4 linked regions of the Arabidopsis thaliana genome follow. The protein of the gene in region 1 interacts with the protein of each later gene in a pairwise test. Each region holds a gene or a part of one and is shown on either strand. Other genes may lie near its edges. The genes, in order: HAB2, PYL6, RCAR1 and PYL10.

Region 1 (5,594 bases):
GCCTCTTCTTGGTTGTCATGTGGTGCTTCTGTGTTTTCTCCTGCCCCAAATCCTGTTTCAAGAGTTTTCATTAGATTGATGGATTGATAACAATGATGATGATGATGATGATGCCATTACGTACTCAGTTTGGTTTGAACATGGAGAAGGATACAGTTTGGAGAATCGATGATGATATTCTCAACAGCCCATTTCAAAGCGTGTTGGCTGTTCTTATCTTTATCAATGGCTATGGCGGTAACTGCTTTGCTGTCTTTTCCTTTGAGTCTTCTTGCAGCCATTGTTTCTCAGCCCTCGAGATGATTGCTGGAAACTTTTGCTTCTGGAGAAACTAGAAAGACATTGTGGTACGGTCTTTCAATTACCCTCAGAAGGAGGAAATAAGGAGACCGAATGATAATGAAAATGATAACAAGGAATTAAGAAGAGAAGAGGAGAGGAGAGCTGTTTTGTTTGTTGAGAAAATTTAAACTTATAATGGTTTTGGCACTTTGCTAAAATTAGAAGGTTTTTCTTTTCTCCAACAATCTAAACAGTCATAACGAACAGAGAGGCAGACAAAAAGAGGATTTTTTTAATTTTAGTTGACGACTTATCTTTAAAGGATATTCCATATCATATCTTGTAGACAAAAAGAGGATTTTTTATTTTTAGATTTGTGTAATGGCATCTTATATTGATATATATGTAAACTAGATAAATTTGGAATTATAGGCAGTCTTGATCTTTTAGAAGAAAGAAGAAGACCATGAGGAAATCCAAAGGTTGAAATTAGTTTTATAATTGTTTCGACGAACGTGTTAAATATCTTGGGGTAACCTGTTTGGTTTTGAAAGGGCAAAAGGGTTTGAGTTTGAAGGACTTTGTCTTTTGTGTGTGATTCATGTCGCTGATGAGGAGGACCTTTGATATTTCAAAGAAACCATATGGAGTATATAATATATAGCTAATAATGATTTTCGTATAACAAACAGCCGTGTACAAGCGAGTGTGGAATTTAATAATAGTTGTGGACGCTACAATGGAAGTGGAATAGAGGATCATGGGCGAGTTCTTGCTACGTCCATTATCCTGAATGATGATGCGGTTCCCACAACACAAGTCCTTATTACTACAAGTCATCATGATAATGTAGCAAAGAGGAAGGAGGTGGAGTGTCTATGAGCTAGAGTGTATACCTCTTTGGGGCACTGTGTCAATCTGCGGTGAAATGGAGGATGCTGTTAGAGCTTTATCTCATTTTTCAAACTACCTATCAGAATGCTTATGTGTGATCATGAAGGGATAATAAGTCCAACGCTCACATGTCTCACTAGTCACTTCTTCGGAATTTATGATGGCCACAGAAGAAGCAGACCTGTTTCTGGTTCTGTTTCTTCTGATGATAGGATGGTTCTTCAGGCTGTTTCCCCTGAGACCGTCGGATCAACTGCTGTTGTTGCTTTGGTTTGCTCATCACATATCATAGTTTCCAACTGTGGTGGTTCAAGAGTGGTTTTACTCCGCGGCAAAGAATCCATGCCTTTATCAGTTGATCAGAAAGTATAAAAGCTGAGACAGAGCTAATGAAGTTTCTTACCTTAATGTAAACAAGTGGACGCTAGAGCCCATATAAGTGACGCTGACTGGGCCTTAATGTAGGCCCATTTCAAACTTTGGTCTCCGAGAAAAGTCTTTCGTTGTCTATTTTTTAACCACGTTATGATAACACTACATGTGTCATGAGATGCATGAACATATGTCATGAACATACTTTCAATCTTGGATCAAAAAACTAAATTAGAAGAATAAACAGAAGACTTGACCTTTAAGAGGGAAGGACACGCGTCATCTATGTTGCCATTATTGAATAGATTAATAAATTAGTTTTATAATTGATTGGAGCAACGTGTTAATAATGAAGGTCGTTGTCACATAAAGAAACTTGGGATTCCGTGGAGTGCTTATAATTTTTCTAATTTTATTTTTTGGGTAAAAACCTCATTAGATCCAGGAGAACCCATGTTTCGTTTCGTTTTGGAAAGATAAGAGAGATAAAGGTTTCGACTTTTTTAGGTTTTTCTGTGTGTTTTGTGATTCATTTCGCTGATTGATATCAATTCTCTCTGTTTGTTGTCCCTTCTCTTCAATTTCACCTGACTTTTGTTTTTGTTTTGGATAAAGTTTTCACCTTTGTGTCTTCTCTCTGCTCTCTTGTGTGATCTATCTGAAAAAGGCTGATTTTTTTTTTGTGGGTTTCTAAATTAGGGTTTGTGTGAGTTTATTGTCTTTCTGATTCGATGAAGATCAAGAGTTATAGAGGATCGTTAGAGTGATCAAAATCCCACGAATTCACAAAGGATCCGTCTTCATAGATCCGTCAGATCTGTTCAGCGGAGGTACATACTTCTTCGTCATTCACTGCTTTCTGGATTAGTTGGTGAGAATAAACGGCTGGTGGGTCTCGGTGGGAAGCTGAATTGGATGTAGAGTTCATCAGACTATAGCTTAGAGAAGAAAATGAAGTTTTTTGAATCGTTTTGCTCCAGTTGAGGTTTGGAAGCTGCATACCAGCTCATGGAAGAGATTTCACCTGCAGTTGCACTTACTTTGGGTTTAGCTAATACGATGTGTGACTCTGGAATCTCATCTACTTTCGATATCTCCGAGCTGGAGAATGTTACTGATGCAGCTGACATGTTGTGTAATCAGAAAAGACAAAGATATAGTAATGGAGTGGTGGATTGTATTATGGGAAGTGTTTCAGAAGAGAAGACTTTATCTGAAGTGAGAAGTTTGTCTTCTGATTTTAGTGTAACTGTCCAGGAATCAGAAGAAGATGAGCCATTAGTATCTGATGCGACTATTATTAGCGAAGGTTTAATAGTTGTGGACGCTAGGTCTGAGATAAGTTTGCCAGATACAGTTGAAACTGATAACGGGCGAGTTCTTGCTACGGCCATTATCCTAAACGAGACAACCATAGAACAGGTTCCCACTGCAGAAGTCCTTATTGCGAGTCTGAATCACGATGTGAATATGGAGGTGGCAACTTCTGAGGTAGTCATTAGGTTACCTGAAGAAAATCCTAATGTAGCAAGAGGAAGCAGGAGTGTTTATGAACTAGAGTGTATACCTCTTTGGGGCACGATTTCAATTTGCGGTGGAAGATCTGAAATGGAGGATGCTGTTAGAGCTTTACCTCATTTTCTCAAAATACCCATCAAAATGCTTATGGGGGATCATGAAGGGATGAGTCCAAGTCTCCCATATCTCACTAGTCACTTCTTTGGTGTATATGATGGCCACGGAGGCGCTCAGGTATGCTGTAGTTCGTAAATCCTTATACTGATTTTAGCAGTAGAAAGTTAATTCAACTATGAACCCGGAAGATACATGAGTTTATGTTTTGTTGACGTAGGTTGTATGTATATATGATAAAGGGTTTGCTGGAAACGGGATTCTTTGCAGGTTGTTATGTAATATATGACGGCTTTGGTGGAAATCGGATTCTTGCAGGTTGCTGACTATTGCCATGATAGAATCCACTCTGCTTTGGCTGAAGAAATCGAACGGATTAAAGAGGAATTGTGTAGGAGGAACACTGGCGAGGGTAGGCAGGTCCAGTGGGAGAAAGTCTTTGTAGATTGTTACCTAAAAGTCGATGATGAGGTTAAAGGGAAAATCAACAGACCTGTTGTTGGTTCTTCTGATAGGATGGTTCTTGAAGCTGTTTCCCCTGAAACCGTTGGATCGACTGCTGTGGTTGCTTTGGTTTGTTCATCGCATATAATAGTCTCAAACTGTGGTGACTCAAGAGCAGTTTTACTCCGAGGCAAAGACTCCATGCCTTTATCAGTTGATCACAAAGTAAAAAATCTTCTCTTTCCCTCTAAAATAATTTAACACAATCTGAGAAAGTTTCTTATTTCTAATTCATGAAATTTCTTACCCTTTCTCTGCAGCCAGATAGAGAGGATGAGTATGCACGAATAGAGAAAGCTGGAGGAAAAGTTATACAATGGCAAGGCGCTCGTGTTTCTGGCGTTCTTGCCATGTCCAGGTCCATCGGTAGGTCAAACTTGCACTTATGTCTTCCATCTTGCCTAGTGACAGAAATATGAAGAGAGTTTTATAGGTCAAAATTATCGATAAATTAAACATTCAGTAACCTTATTTAGAGATGAGGATCATTACTACCTGTTACAGTCTCTGCAAAATCATGAGATCTCCTGAAAGTGGGTTTCAATCTGCATCGTTTTCAGGTGATCAATATCTGGAGCCATTTGTAATACCAGATCCCGAAGTGACGTTTATGCCACGAGCTAGAGAAGACGAGTGTCTAATATTGGCCAGTGATGGACTTTGGGACGTAATGAGTAACCAAGAAGCTTGCGATTTTGCGAGGAGGCGGATCTTGGCTTGGCACAAGAAGAATGGAGCATTGCCTTTAGCTGAGAGAGGTGTAGGAGAAGACCAAGCGTGTCAAGCTGCGGCTGAATATCTCTCCAAACTCGCTATTCAAATGGGAAGCAAAGACAATATCTCAATCATAGTGATCGACTTGAAAGCTCAAAGAAAGTTCAAGACCAGATCTTGAAACAGTGTATGCTCGAGCTCTTACACTATTATAATTTTATTATTTCTTATTTATTGAAAAAATTTCCACAAGTTTACATAAAAATAAGAAGTGAAATGTTGGGGGGAAGAAGAATTAAGACCTTGATGCATAGCTGAAGTCCATTCCTTTTTCTCATGGACTTGAATGTGTATGTTTGTTATGTATAAGAAGAATAGAGAAGAAATGTTTTTACTTTGGAGTCTTGTAGGTGGATATGTTGTTGTAATATTGGAGATGTGGCTTAAGGAATTGTAACTGAAATTTATGTCACATTCACCTTAATACTTTTCTGTAATCTATTATATATAAATACTTGTTGTGAAAGAGTTATTATTGTCTTTTCTATTGTTATTGTTATACAACAGGTAATATTGATTCCAAAGTGTTTAATGAGGGATGCTGTATCAAACATGAAAACTAAGTGAAGGGTTTGGAGAAGGATGGTTGTTTAAAGCTATTTCCCCTGCTTTTTTTACTAAGAGAGTAGAGTTTAACAATTAAAAGAAACCTAAATAAGAGATCATAATTGGTACGTTAAGGTTTCATAATTCATTAGAATTAACAAAAATAATGAGTTGGATAGTTGAAGAATCAACAGAAACCCAAGTGATGAATGGATCAAAGAGAGTCACATAAAGGAGATCATAACTGATGTTTTAGTGTGGTGTATTGTCTCAAACAATGTGCTGAGCCAAAGAAAGGATCTTGAGCTGTTTCCTGAGGCGCATCTCGTGCGGGACAGGACCAAACACTCGGGTACCAGTCGGTTGGTTGTACTCCATTTTCCTCTTGGAACCATGTGAATTATTCTGCCCTTTCTTTTCCTTAATGCCAACAACTACAATGGCATTGTCATCAAACTTGACTTGGCTTCCATCAGCACGTCCTTTAGGCATCGCAGCACGCACAACCACACCGTACACGACCATCCCTTTCTTCACTTTACCTTTTGGGATAGCGTCTTTCTTTACTTTTTTTTGAACAATTGGGTTAG
Region 2 (4,015 bases), on another chromosome or scaffold:
GGACAAGGAAATCCGAAAAAGTAATAATTTTGACATTTGAATTATTGAAACGGTTCACGCATCCCAAAACTATAAAAGGAACTAAGAAATTTTATCATTTTGGTATGTAAATAATTTTGATTTATTTTTTTGGTGAGTAAAAACAAAACATTTACGTATTTATGTAAAGTTTGTTGATGAAATGACAAATAATTTGAAAATTTTACGTTTCCAAATTAGGGAATTAAAGATATAATGCTGTATTACCTGACACCATTTATTTTGGCCTAGCATTATATATGCCATAAAGAAAATTCTTAAGATTATATCACATAACTCAATACATGCATTACGCCTTGGTTCAAGTTTAATTATCACTAATTGATATTATTCCATCTTTGCTTTTAGGATTGAACGCTTTGATTATATAGCTGGTGAGCAAATTCATTTAAAACACCAAGTAGTATTCTACTGTTTATACATTTCAATAAAATTCAAATGATGTATAGTTTTACTTTGTTCTTCTCTTAACATAAAGGAAAACGAATCATCTCAATCAGCACATGTATGGGTTTTCTGATTGCCCACAATTGTTCAGATCTCTTCATATATAGTAGATATGCCAATGATTATATTAATCAAATTGTTTGTGTAATACATTATTATGTAGGTTATCAAAATTAATGAAATTAGACATAATAATATCGGAAATATCGTAACAATATACCCCATGCATTATAGCTGAATCACTATATAGTCTATATTGTTTCATGATTAACTAAATTAAAAGACAAATAATAAATATGTAAAATACGGCGCAAGAAGAAGATTATGAAAATAACTAAACAATCAATGTTTATATAATAAAGCTACGAGAGCTGTACAAGAAGAAATGGTTTTAAGGGTAAAACCAAAGTATCGTTGAGACATACATTTAACAGACCCTAAAAACCCTAACTTCGAAAAACCAAAACCATCTTGTTTGATATAATTCTTGTTTTTTGTTTTAGTTTCGAAAAATCCCCGACGATAGTTAAATACTTAAATCTTAAAATCCAAAACCACCTCGAGAATCCCAAAAATAAAAGATAAATTTTGAAAGAGAGAAATATAGAAAATAAAATAAAAATAAAAAGATTGAAAAAATGTAATTACGAGAATTTAGAAGTGTTCTCGGCGAGTTTAGCCAGCGATTGCAAGTTGCACCGTACTATAGTATCAGCAAAGCTACAAGTCTCTTCCTTATCGTTACCCGCCGGTACGTCAACGACGTATGACTCAACGACACGTGTCCTCTTCTTGCCGTCGGAGTCCTCCTCCGACTCATGCACCGTCGTCACCGACTTGTAGTTCATGAGTCTGTGGTCCCCACCAACGACGCTGAAACTGATGACGTGGCGATCATCGTCCATGATCTCAAGCCGCTCTAAGCTAAACGCCGCGGGGAGACCAGAGACGACTCTGACCTCTCTCACCGACCCAACCTCTCGACCGTCTCCGATAACCACGTGGCAGCTTTTCACGAAGTGTTTGTACGCTTGAGGGTGTTCGAAGCGGCTTAGGATCGACCAGACTGTGGAAACCGGAGCCTCCACGTCTTGTACCACGACGGAGAAGCACTGAGAAGGACCAACCACGTGCGTGTGGGAAAGCTCCACGTGCTCCGGCACATCAGCCATCCCGCGCGTGAGGCTCACTTTTTGAACCTGTTTCTGATGGTGGTGGGGATAGTTTCTTACGGTGGCGTTGGCTGCTTCTGCGGCGGTGGAGGATCTCTGAAACTGTATCGACGTTGGCATTATTAAAGCAAATCTTTTCTCTATATCTCTTTTAATATTCTTGGCTCTCTCTAAGAAAACAAATGGTTTTCTTCGTGAGGTTGTATTAATGAGAGATATTTACATGTAATATACAGAACTATATAAGGACAGAGTGTTTATATATAAAAATGCAAGTATGTGGATTAGGAAAGAGAGTTAGTTTGTGTGGGTTCTTCGGTTGTCCACTTGGGATTTGTTTGGAGTTTGTGTACTGCTTCAGTTAAGAAACGTCTCTCTCTTTCTTTATATCAAGGACCGGCCCGGTTTCCCATGAAATTCTACGGACTGGTTCTCGATATTTAATATAACCGGTTATTAAATTTTAATTTTGTTTTTCCTTGCTTTGTTACTGAGGCTGTCTATTTGTCAATGGTGCTATATATTTCACCAGTTTATTACAATGAATGAGCATGTTGTCGTAACCACACAAGCATTACTATAATTAGAATGGACGTTTTTATGTTTTAACCAAAAACACTCTTGAATGAAAGTTGAGAAAATGAAATCAATATCATTTAAGATACCGAGAAAAAAATTCTGAACTCATCTCTATCTCACCGATTATATCAATATTCAGAATATAAAAACATTGAACATTATCTTTGAGGTTTTGCATAGATATTTCAATCTTCTACTGTCTCGAGGCTATATATATAGCTAACTCTAAAACGTTATTAAAGATTATAAGAACATGATCACTATGTGTCGAGTTGGTTAAGCTATATATATTGGTTAAGAGCTATACTTAATTTATGCATAGGTTTGAAAAAATTCTTGAAACAAATTGGTTGGGAGGACCGACCTTTGTCTTTGTGATTGCCGATCTATTTTCAGTTGGTACTATTCTTGGATGCGTTTTTGGTGGATTTTTAATTTTGTTGGAACCTTCTGACTAAGGTAAAAATTTCAAAAATAACTCCATAGGACTTTCAATGTTCCAAGTTGGTGAAGATATCATGTCATGGGTCCATCATAATAATCTTTCCTCATCTTGTAATCAACTTGAGCCTTTCGACGATACTAAAAAAAGTATTAATCAAATTCCTTTTCAACAAAGAAAAGAACAGAATATTAATAAGACGAATTAGAAGAAAATCAAACTAAGCAGTTTGCTAAAAGTAACCAACGTAAAGTCAGGGAAATTTACGAATTGGACAATATTTCTTGGGTGTGTTTTCTTCCACAAACGTATATTCAAATCATATGAATATATTGGACTCTTGGATTTGAGTGGTGGGCATAATAACAAAACACAATTGGGAAAAATAATAAAGGGTTATCTAATGCATTAGTTTTTCCAACAACTATACATATTCCCAAGTAGCCCTAGTTGTTAAGATTAATACGAATAAGCGAGCAATTTGCAGTACTAATTATATCTGACATTTTATAGAATAAGAAGGACAAAAAGTTACAATTTGCTATTTTTTGCACCATCCTCGATATAAAGATTGCTCATCTTATAAGCTTTCGGGTTAGGTGACATAATCACTCACCAATATATTACTGAACACAAATAGATTACAAGTTGATGTGGAAAATGTATTAATATTACGGTGATACATTTTTGGGTTCAAAGAGTCAATCTCAAATCAATGCATCAGACGTATTTTGTTACAACAACATAATTTGTGCCAACTTTTTTTTTTGTCAAAACATGTATTATATATCCAAGATTTAAATTCCAATGGTGAGATAGTGACAAACATTAGTATAAACAACTCGACTCCATGTCATTATTATTTTTGTGCAAAAGCCGGTTGTTTGTTTGTTTGTGAATATTTCTCGAGAAATAAATCTCCAATATGCATAAAATATTATTCCACCTAAAATTATTAAATCCCCAACTATGATTATAAACAAAATGCACTTAAAATTTCAAAAATAAGTATCGAAAAAATCAAAGATAAGCTTAAATTTCGATAGATATTTGAATGAATCAGATTACAACGTGATATTAAGAGAAGATTATCGATCAAAAAGTAATTAAAAGGAGAAATTGTCCAAAATAGTTGCATCTCATTCTTGCGGAGAAGAGGACACATTGTCAAAGGGAACTTGTGGAGGTGCAATACCCACCAATTCATTGGATTTAATTAATTAACAGTTTGCCAACTTGATTTCTTCATTTTTCTAAAGGCTTAGAAGATCTTCAAGATTCGAGCAAGAAAAACGATTTTGGAGACCAGAATGGAATAGTTAAAGCCTTTTAAATA
Region 3 (3,676 bases), 5.9 Mb from region 1:
GGTTCATCTAAATTTGAAGCTTTTTCCTTTTGTTAAATTTGTTGAAACAGTCAAAGTTAGATTAAACCAGGACAAATGAATGAAACGATAAATTCATAACTTTTTACTGCCAGCATTATCAGAAGAATGTCGTTAATGTTGTCTTTTTTTCTTTCACTTCCGTCTGTTTTTTTTGTGGTATTGGTTAATTCGAAAAGATTCGGAACCTATTGGCCGGCAAAAAAGTTATCCAAATGAACAAAAAGAAGAATTACACGTGTCAAGTTCACGAGAAACGACATAATACGTGAACATGAAAATGACAGACAATAAACCAATGAAAATATGACACGTATATTGGTTTCCTATTATTTAACCGTATTTAGCTCATTGTCGCTGTCACTAAAAAGGCTCCTTGTTTTTATCTTGAAGCAGTTAATAATTTACGCCAAAGTCGTCTTTTGCGTTTAAGTTCGCATGCCTAGCTAGTGCCAAAGGTGATCCTATCCGATAAGCTTTGTTTTGGGTAAATTTTTATCTGATAAGGTTACTGTAATTATCGTCAATTACCGCTCTTTTAAGTACTATATTATCACTTAACATTTTTTAAAAAATATGATTGCAGAAAATGTTATATATAAACTAAATCCCTATTTTATCATAACGTCAATTTCAGACAATTAATGAGATATGTAAGCATAAACCATATTCATATTGAACAAGAAAACCTCCGGTTACAATTATATGTGTTGTTTAAAATGGTTACAAAATCGGAAGATTGTTCGTTATGAAAACCTTAAACCATAATTAATACATATGTTAGAAGATAATTAGATAAGTAATCATTTAACTAGATTTATCTAAAAAGTGATTATGTTGTTTTTGTTTGAGAAAACCAAGTAAAGGTGAGTCTTTTCTCCTTTGGGAAAAACAAAAGTAGAATTCAAAAAAGAAAGAAATAGAATTCACTAATTATATAGTAATCCATTAATATTACTGGTTAGAAAGCGTAATTAGCGGCGGTGGTTATCAAAAGTGACTTCCACCATATGTTTCGAAAGCTTGAGTTTCACGAAGAAGATGGAGGAGGGGCAACTTTAGACTAGTGGAGATGAATCGAATGATGATTTATTGTAGATTCTTTGTGGTATCTCATCTTTCCTTCGTATGAGGTGTGATTCACAACAAATACAATTTAACAAAAACTAGTTTGTCTACATTCGGTATGATATAATTAAGGACTTTGTCTCAAACAGATTAAAGTTCTTGTTTCATGATTTTAGATTGTGGATGCCTTGTACCAATCTTCTTGTAGAAATGCCTTCTCCTCCTAGAAGAGAAATTACACCTTACGTGTCGTACATGACTACATGGAACAGTCACTTTGCAGATAGGATATGGTGTTAGACATTTAGCTTGATACAATTAATTAATGTTTAACAACAAGGTTTAAAGGCAACGAGAGCTATATCTAATAAGATGTGGTCTAAGACATATGAGACCTGATACATGGAGAATCACTCATTTATAAATTTCTGGTATATTAACGACATTTTGTGTCTAAAAAATTAGCTATTATAATGAATATGGTCTAAAATTGAATTTAAATTAACAAAACTATCTATAAAGTTTGAAACGATCTTACCTAATCAAAACAAATAATTATCTAAGCAATCTGTTTTGTTTTGTTCGGATTATATAGGTCCCCAAAACGTCATACAATAAAACTTGCTTAAATATTTTGTTTTTTTGTTACATTAAAAAATTAGTATCTTGTTGTGTTTTTGTTTGGTTTGAAAAGCTGAAAATGTGTGAAGGAGAAGAAGGAAGCTATAAAAAAGAGTTTAGGTACAAAAGTAAAAAGTTATTATGTCGGTGGGTTCATTAAAAGAAACCAAAAAACATAAACAAGTAATTTTGTTTTGGCATAACGAAGCATCTTCTTCTTCTTCCTTGTATTTATTATCCATTTCCAGAGATTCTCCCTTGTGAGATAACAACGAAGAACGAAAGAGAGAGAGAGAGAGAGAGATATGATGGACGGCGTTGAAGGCGGCACGGCGATGTACGGTGGTCTCGAGACGGTGCAATACGTACGGACGCATCATCAACATCTGTGCAGAGAAAACCAGTGTACCTCTGCTCTTGTCAAACACATCAAAGCTCCTCTTCATCTCGTAAGCTTCTCCAATCTACCACTAATTTCACCCTTTTCGTACCATTTTCTCCATGATCCGTCAATTTTGATCCCAACCATCGATTTAGGGTTTTTTCCCCCAAATCTCTGTTTAACGATTGATTATAATTGATTTTTTTTAGGTTTGGTCACTTGTACGGAGATTTGATCAGCCGCAGAAATACAAACCGTTTGTGAGCAGATGTACAGTAATCGGTGATCCTGAAATCGGCAGTCTTAGAGAAGTCAATGTTAAATCTGGTCTTCCTGCAACAACATCTACTGAGAGATTAGAACTTCTTGATGATGAAGAACACATCCTCGGTATCAAAATCATCGGTGGTGATCACAGACTTAAGGTACAGCGAGAGAAATCAAATCTCATTGATGTTTGTTTATATGCAGATTCTCATTGATTGTTTGTTTGCAGAATTACTCGTCGATTTTGACGGTTCATCCGGAGATAATCGAGGGAAGAGCAGGAACGATGGTGATTGAATCGTTTGTAGTTGATGTTCCTCAAGGTAACACAAAGGATGAGACTTGCTACTTTGTTGAAGCACTTATCAGATGTAATCTCAAGTCACTAGCAGATGTTTCTGAAAGATTGGCTTCTCAGGACATTACTCAGTGAACTACATAATCAATGAACAAGGGCATTGAAGTGAAGTATCAATTCCAGTTTGTGATATAATCAATATTCTTCAGGATTTTTTTGGTTTGGCCTAGATATATATATAGATATCTATCCTCGGTAATGACCAGTCTAAAAAGATGTACATATTGTCCCAATGGTGAAGTTTTGATGTAAGATATCTCCTGGTGGTTTGTTATTTGTAGATATTTTTGTAAACAATGTAAATGTGAATGGTTTATGATGTATAATATATAGTTCACAAAAGATGTTTCTGTAGACTTCAGATTCCACTTCTCTATTGAACAGAACCTATGATTGGATGCTGAGAACTTGTAAAGAATCTGAGGCAGAAAGTTGAAAAACTGTGTCAATTTCATTAACTTGAAAAGATGAGCATAAATTGGGAGAGAGAGAGAGAGACAAAGATTTTGAATTGAGGTTTAACGGTAAAACACACAAAACCTATTCCCCTCTGTTTCCAATTTTCATCTAAACAAACAGGTACATATTTGAATGTAATATTGTATACAGACCAGGGGTAAAACAGGAACTAAAGAAGGCTAACAATCGAGTCGAACCCTCTATGTGAAGCCACAGGTTTAGTGCAAATTGTAATAAGTTGTTCAGAGAGACTCTTGACTGAAACAAATTGTGAAGCAGATTCGATTTTAAAATCAAAATTTGAGTGTCGAGCGGGAAAGTAAAAGTTCCGCTCCAATCTTCTAATCTTTTCGTATCTAGCGGGAAATTTCTCAGCAGGTGACTTTCATAATCGCAGTTTTCGTCGATTCTCTTTTCCGATTTTACGATTCCTCTCTCTCTCTCATGGTGCGATTTCTCCAGCAGTAAAAATCAATGGCGAGAACCAAGCATCGCGTTACCAG
Region 4 (3,193 bases), on another chromosome or scaffold:
ATCGTTTTCTTCTTTCAGGGAACGACTTCACCACTTGCAGGCAAGAATTCTCTGATGTTTGAACGAGATTGGAATGTTCAGGTTTTATTTTTTGATATTATCGGCTGTAACATGTGTATGTTTAATGTAACAGAGGACAGAAATGGATCGGGTCTGCTTTGGGCGATCTGGAATTCATGGATGGGGTCTTTTTGCAAGAAGAAATATCCAAGAAGGAGAAATGGTATGTCAGCAGACCCATTTGTGATATTGTGTTTGGTCTATTTGGGATGAGGGGAGTGTTTATTGTCGAGAGGTGCTATTGTATTTCAGGTTCTTGAATACAGAGGGGAACAGGTGAGAGGTAGCATTGCAGACTTGAGAGAAGCACGTTATCGCAGAGTAGGAAAGGATTGCTATGTGAGTTGAAAAAGTTTCCATTTTATCTTCACAAATTGTCTCTTCTCTCTCTATCTCTCTTAACCAAAAGAAGGATTTATGTTGCAGCTTTTCAAGATCAGTGAAGAAGTAGTGGTTGATGCTACAGATAAAGGGAATATAGCTCGGCTCATCAATCATTCGGTAAGCTGCTTGGCATGGACTTTTTACGTACAAGAAATTTGACAGACTGTTAAAGCCTAAATCAAAATACGTGGTGTGTAGTGTACACCAAACTGCTATGCGAGGATTATGAGTGTAGGAGATGAGGAAAGCAGGATTGTCCTGATAGCCAAGGCCAATGTAGCTGTGGGAGAGGAGTTAACGTACACAACGCATTTCTATATATACCATTCTTCAATCTAAAGCTGATTGATTGTCATAGTTTAAGAAATGTTGTGTGGTGTTTTGGCAGGTATGATTACTTATTTGATCCAGACGAGGCAGAGGAACTCAAGGTGCCATGCTTATGTAAAGCCCCTAACTGCAGGAAATTCATGAATTAGAATAGAAAGGTATAGATCCTCTAAGTTTACTTCACAGGCTACAACACCAAGAAGAAAAGGCCAAAGCAAGATTGTCTCTTTTTGCTCCAAAAACAATAGATTTATAGGTAGAGAGAAAAGCTAAGTGATCCAAGTCTGATCTCTTCTGCCTCTCTGTATAGACAAACTCGTTTGTGTCACCATTATCCTCAAAAGAATTCAATTTCATTCATTTTGTTCATTTCAACGAGACTTGAGCAGAAAACTTGGGATAATTCCAACTGTTGTGACCGTTTTACCCTATAACCATCGGTTTACTACGGTTATACCGCGAAGGTGATGAGTCAATTCAATTGGGAATTGATTTTCCTTTCGCGCCGGTTTATGAATCGTGCTTTCGTCAAGTGCCATGTCAGACGAATTGTAGTTTGCTGCTGATAAAAGATCTCGTAATGGTTTTCTTAAAACACTTTTAAGCGTTTTTGACGGCCCAATTGATGCGAATATGGATTGACTCTTATCTATACTTCAGATATGTTCAAAGCCACACAAGGTAAATTGCATAACGGATAACAATTCCCATAAGAAAAAATGTTTCGGTGTCAAACTGTATATGAGCAATTCTGAAACATTCTAAAGATTTTGTGGTTATGTGTTAAACTTAAAGCATTTGATAGAGAGATATTTTTCAAAGAAATAGGAAAAAATAATGTTACAATCCTCCACATTAATGTTTACAATCCGTCCATCTGTACTTGACATGTCGGATCATAATCCAAGATAATGGGAATACAGATATAAGTTAAAAATGAATTCACTCATAGAAACTTGGAAGGCTATATTCGTCAATATAAAAGAGCATCCTTTAAATAGCTGCACACTGGTACAGTGGTTCTACTATTGAGTGAAAAAAAAAAAAAACTAAAGGCACGAATAATTTTTGTCTAATCAAAATTATTTAAATTGCTGCTATTTAAGATAACGATGAACGGTGACGAAACAAAGAAGGTGGAGAGCGAGTACATCAAGAAACACCATAGACACGAGCTTGTAGAGTCTCAATGTAGCTCTACGCTCGTTAAGCACATCAAAGCTCCTCTGCATCTCGTAAGCTTTGCTTTGCTCTGTTTTTCAAGTGTTAAAGATAACGATTTTTGAGATGTTAAATGATTTGTTTTGTTTGGAAAAGGTGTGGTCAATTGTGAGGAGATTCGATGAACCACAAAAATACAAACCATTTATCAGTAGGTGTGTGGTACAAGGTAAGAAGCTGGAGGTTGGTAGCGTAAGAGAAGTGGATTTGAAATCTGGATTACCAGCTACTAAAAGCACTGAGGTATTAGAGATTCTTGACGACAATGAGCATATTCTCGGCATCAGAATAGTTGGTGGTGATCATAGACTCAAGGTAAATTGAAATTTCCTTAAATGTACCATTCATTCCGACAAGATTATTGTTTTTTTTAGAGCTTAATTTGTTATTTGTCCAATCAGAATTATTCTTCAACCATTTCGTTACATTCGGAGACGATAGACGGAAAAACAGGGACATTGGCTATAGAATCGTTCGTGGTGGATGTGCCGGAAGGTAACACAAAGGAGGAGACATGCTTCTTCGTGGAGGCTTTGATTCAATGCAATCTCAATTCTTTAGCAGATGTTACCGAGCGTCTACAAGCAGAATCTATGGAGAAGAAGATATGAGATGTGACTTGAGAATCTTTTCATTCGGAAAAGAAGGAAAAAGACCAAAGAAGAGAAATAACTCTTCCCTTTTATAGCAATGTCTATGTTTTTTCTTCTTCTATTTCCATTTTCTGAATGTTTGTATATTATTGGAAGTTTGTAACGAAATGATTTCGAATAGCTGTCAAACGAGAAATATAAATTCAAATTTGTAAGTGTTTATATGAAATGCTTTTTTATTTTTAACATTTCCACATGAAAATATAAATAACATATCATGACACATGCAAAATCATATTTATGAAAGTTTTTTCAACTCTCTCCATTTTTTCGACATATCAGCATTAGATAGAGTGACACTTATCACATCAACATATGAATTACATTTCTTATTTAATTTAATGTATTTAAGAATTTATAATCATGCATTAATTCTTTCTAAATTTTTTGACATGTTTGAACTTATTAATTAAATAATTTCAATTTAATTAGGTACAAAGTATATCAAACTCACATAAATAACTTATTTAAATTAAATTATATAAATCGTATAAACTTATGTATAAACATAAAATTAATAGAATTTTAATGAACTTTTAGATTTG

The links.
Region 2: the proteins of HAB2 (region 1) and PYL6 interact in binary tests that used the Arabidopsis thaliana proteins (3 or more experiments, as listed by UniProt).
Region 3: the proteins of HAB2 (region 1) and RCAR1 interact in binary tests that used the Arabidopsis thaliana proteins (3 or more experiments, as listed by UniProt).
Region 4: the proteins of HAB2 (region 1) and PYL10 interact in binary tests that used the Arabidopsis thaliana proteins (3 or more experiments, as listed by UniProt).

The regions. Positions count from the first base shown.
Region 1 is NC_003070.9:6,032,361-6,037,954, forward strand, and holds HAB2 (homology to ABI2), read left to right. Parts: upstream 1-1,909; 5' UTR 1,910-2,556; coding exon 2,557-3,300; intron 3,301-3,498; coding exon 3,499-3,849; intron 3,850-3,944; coding exon 3,945-4,050; intron 4,051-4,244; coding exon 4,245-4,579; 3' UTR 4,580-5,038; downstream 5,039-5,594. Other genes in the region: AT1G17540 (kinase with adenine nucleotide alpha hydrolases-like domain-containing protein), read right to left, coding at 1-52, 125-281; AT1G17545 (Protein phosphatase 2C family protein), read left to right, coding at 749-764, 947-1,149, 1,228-1,548; HLL (Ribosomal protein L14p/L23e family protein), read right to left, coding at 5,275-5,594. UniProt on the Arabidopsis thaliana protein: Key component and repressor of the abscisic acid (ABA) signaling pathway that regulates numerous ABA responses, such as stomatal closure, seed germination and inhibition of vegetative growth.
Region 2 is NC_003071.7:16,844,047-16,848,061, forward strand, and holds PYL6 (PYR1-like 6), read right to left. Parts: upstream 2,149-4,015; 5' UTR 1,779-2,148; coding exon 1,131-1,778; 3' UTR 542-1,130; downstream 1-541. UniProt on the Arabidopsis thaliana protein: Receptor for abscisic acid (ABA) required for ABA-mediated responses such as stomatal closure and germination inhibition.
Region 3 is NC_003070.9:140,126-143,801, forward strand, and holds RCAR1 (regulatory component of ABA receptor 1), read left to right. Parts: upstream 1-1,744; 5' UTR 1,745-2,012; coding exon 2,013-2,156; intron 2,157-2,298; coding exon 2,299-2,514; intron 2,515-2,585; coding exon 2,586-2,789; 3' UTR 2,790-3,136; downstream 3,137-3,676. Other genes in the region: HTR12 (Histone superfamily protein), read left to right, coding at 3,648-3,676. UniProt on the Arabidopsis thaliana protein: Receptor for abscisic acid (ABA) required for ABA-mediated responses such as stomatal closure and germination inhibition.
Region 4 is NC_003075.7:13,899,334-13,902,526, forward strand, and holds PYL10 (PYR1-like 10), read left to right. Parts: upstream 1-1,808; 5' UTR 1,809-1,886; coding exon 1,887-2,009; intron 2,010-2,091; coding exon 2,092-2,310; intron 2,311-2,396; coding exon 2,397-2,606; 3' UTR 2,607-2,667; downstream 2,668-3,193. Other genes in the region: SDG16 (SET domain protein 16), read left to right, coding at 1-40, 134-223, 313-399, 487-561, 643-743, 833-923. UniProt on the Arabidopsis thaliana protein: Receptor for abscisic acid (ABA) required for ABA-mediated responses such as stomatal closure and germination inhibition.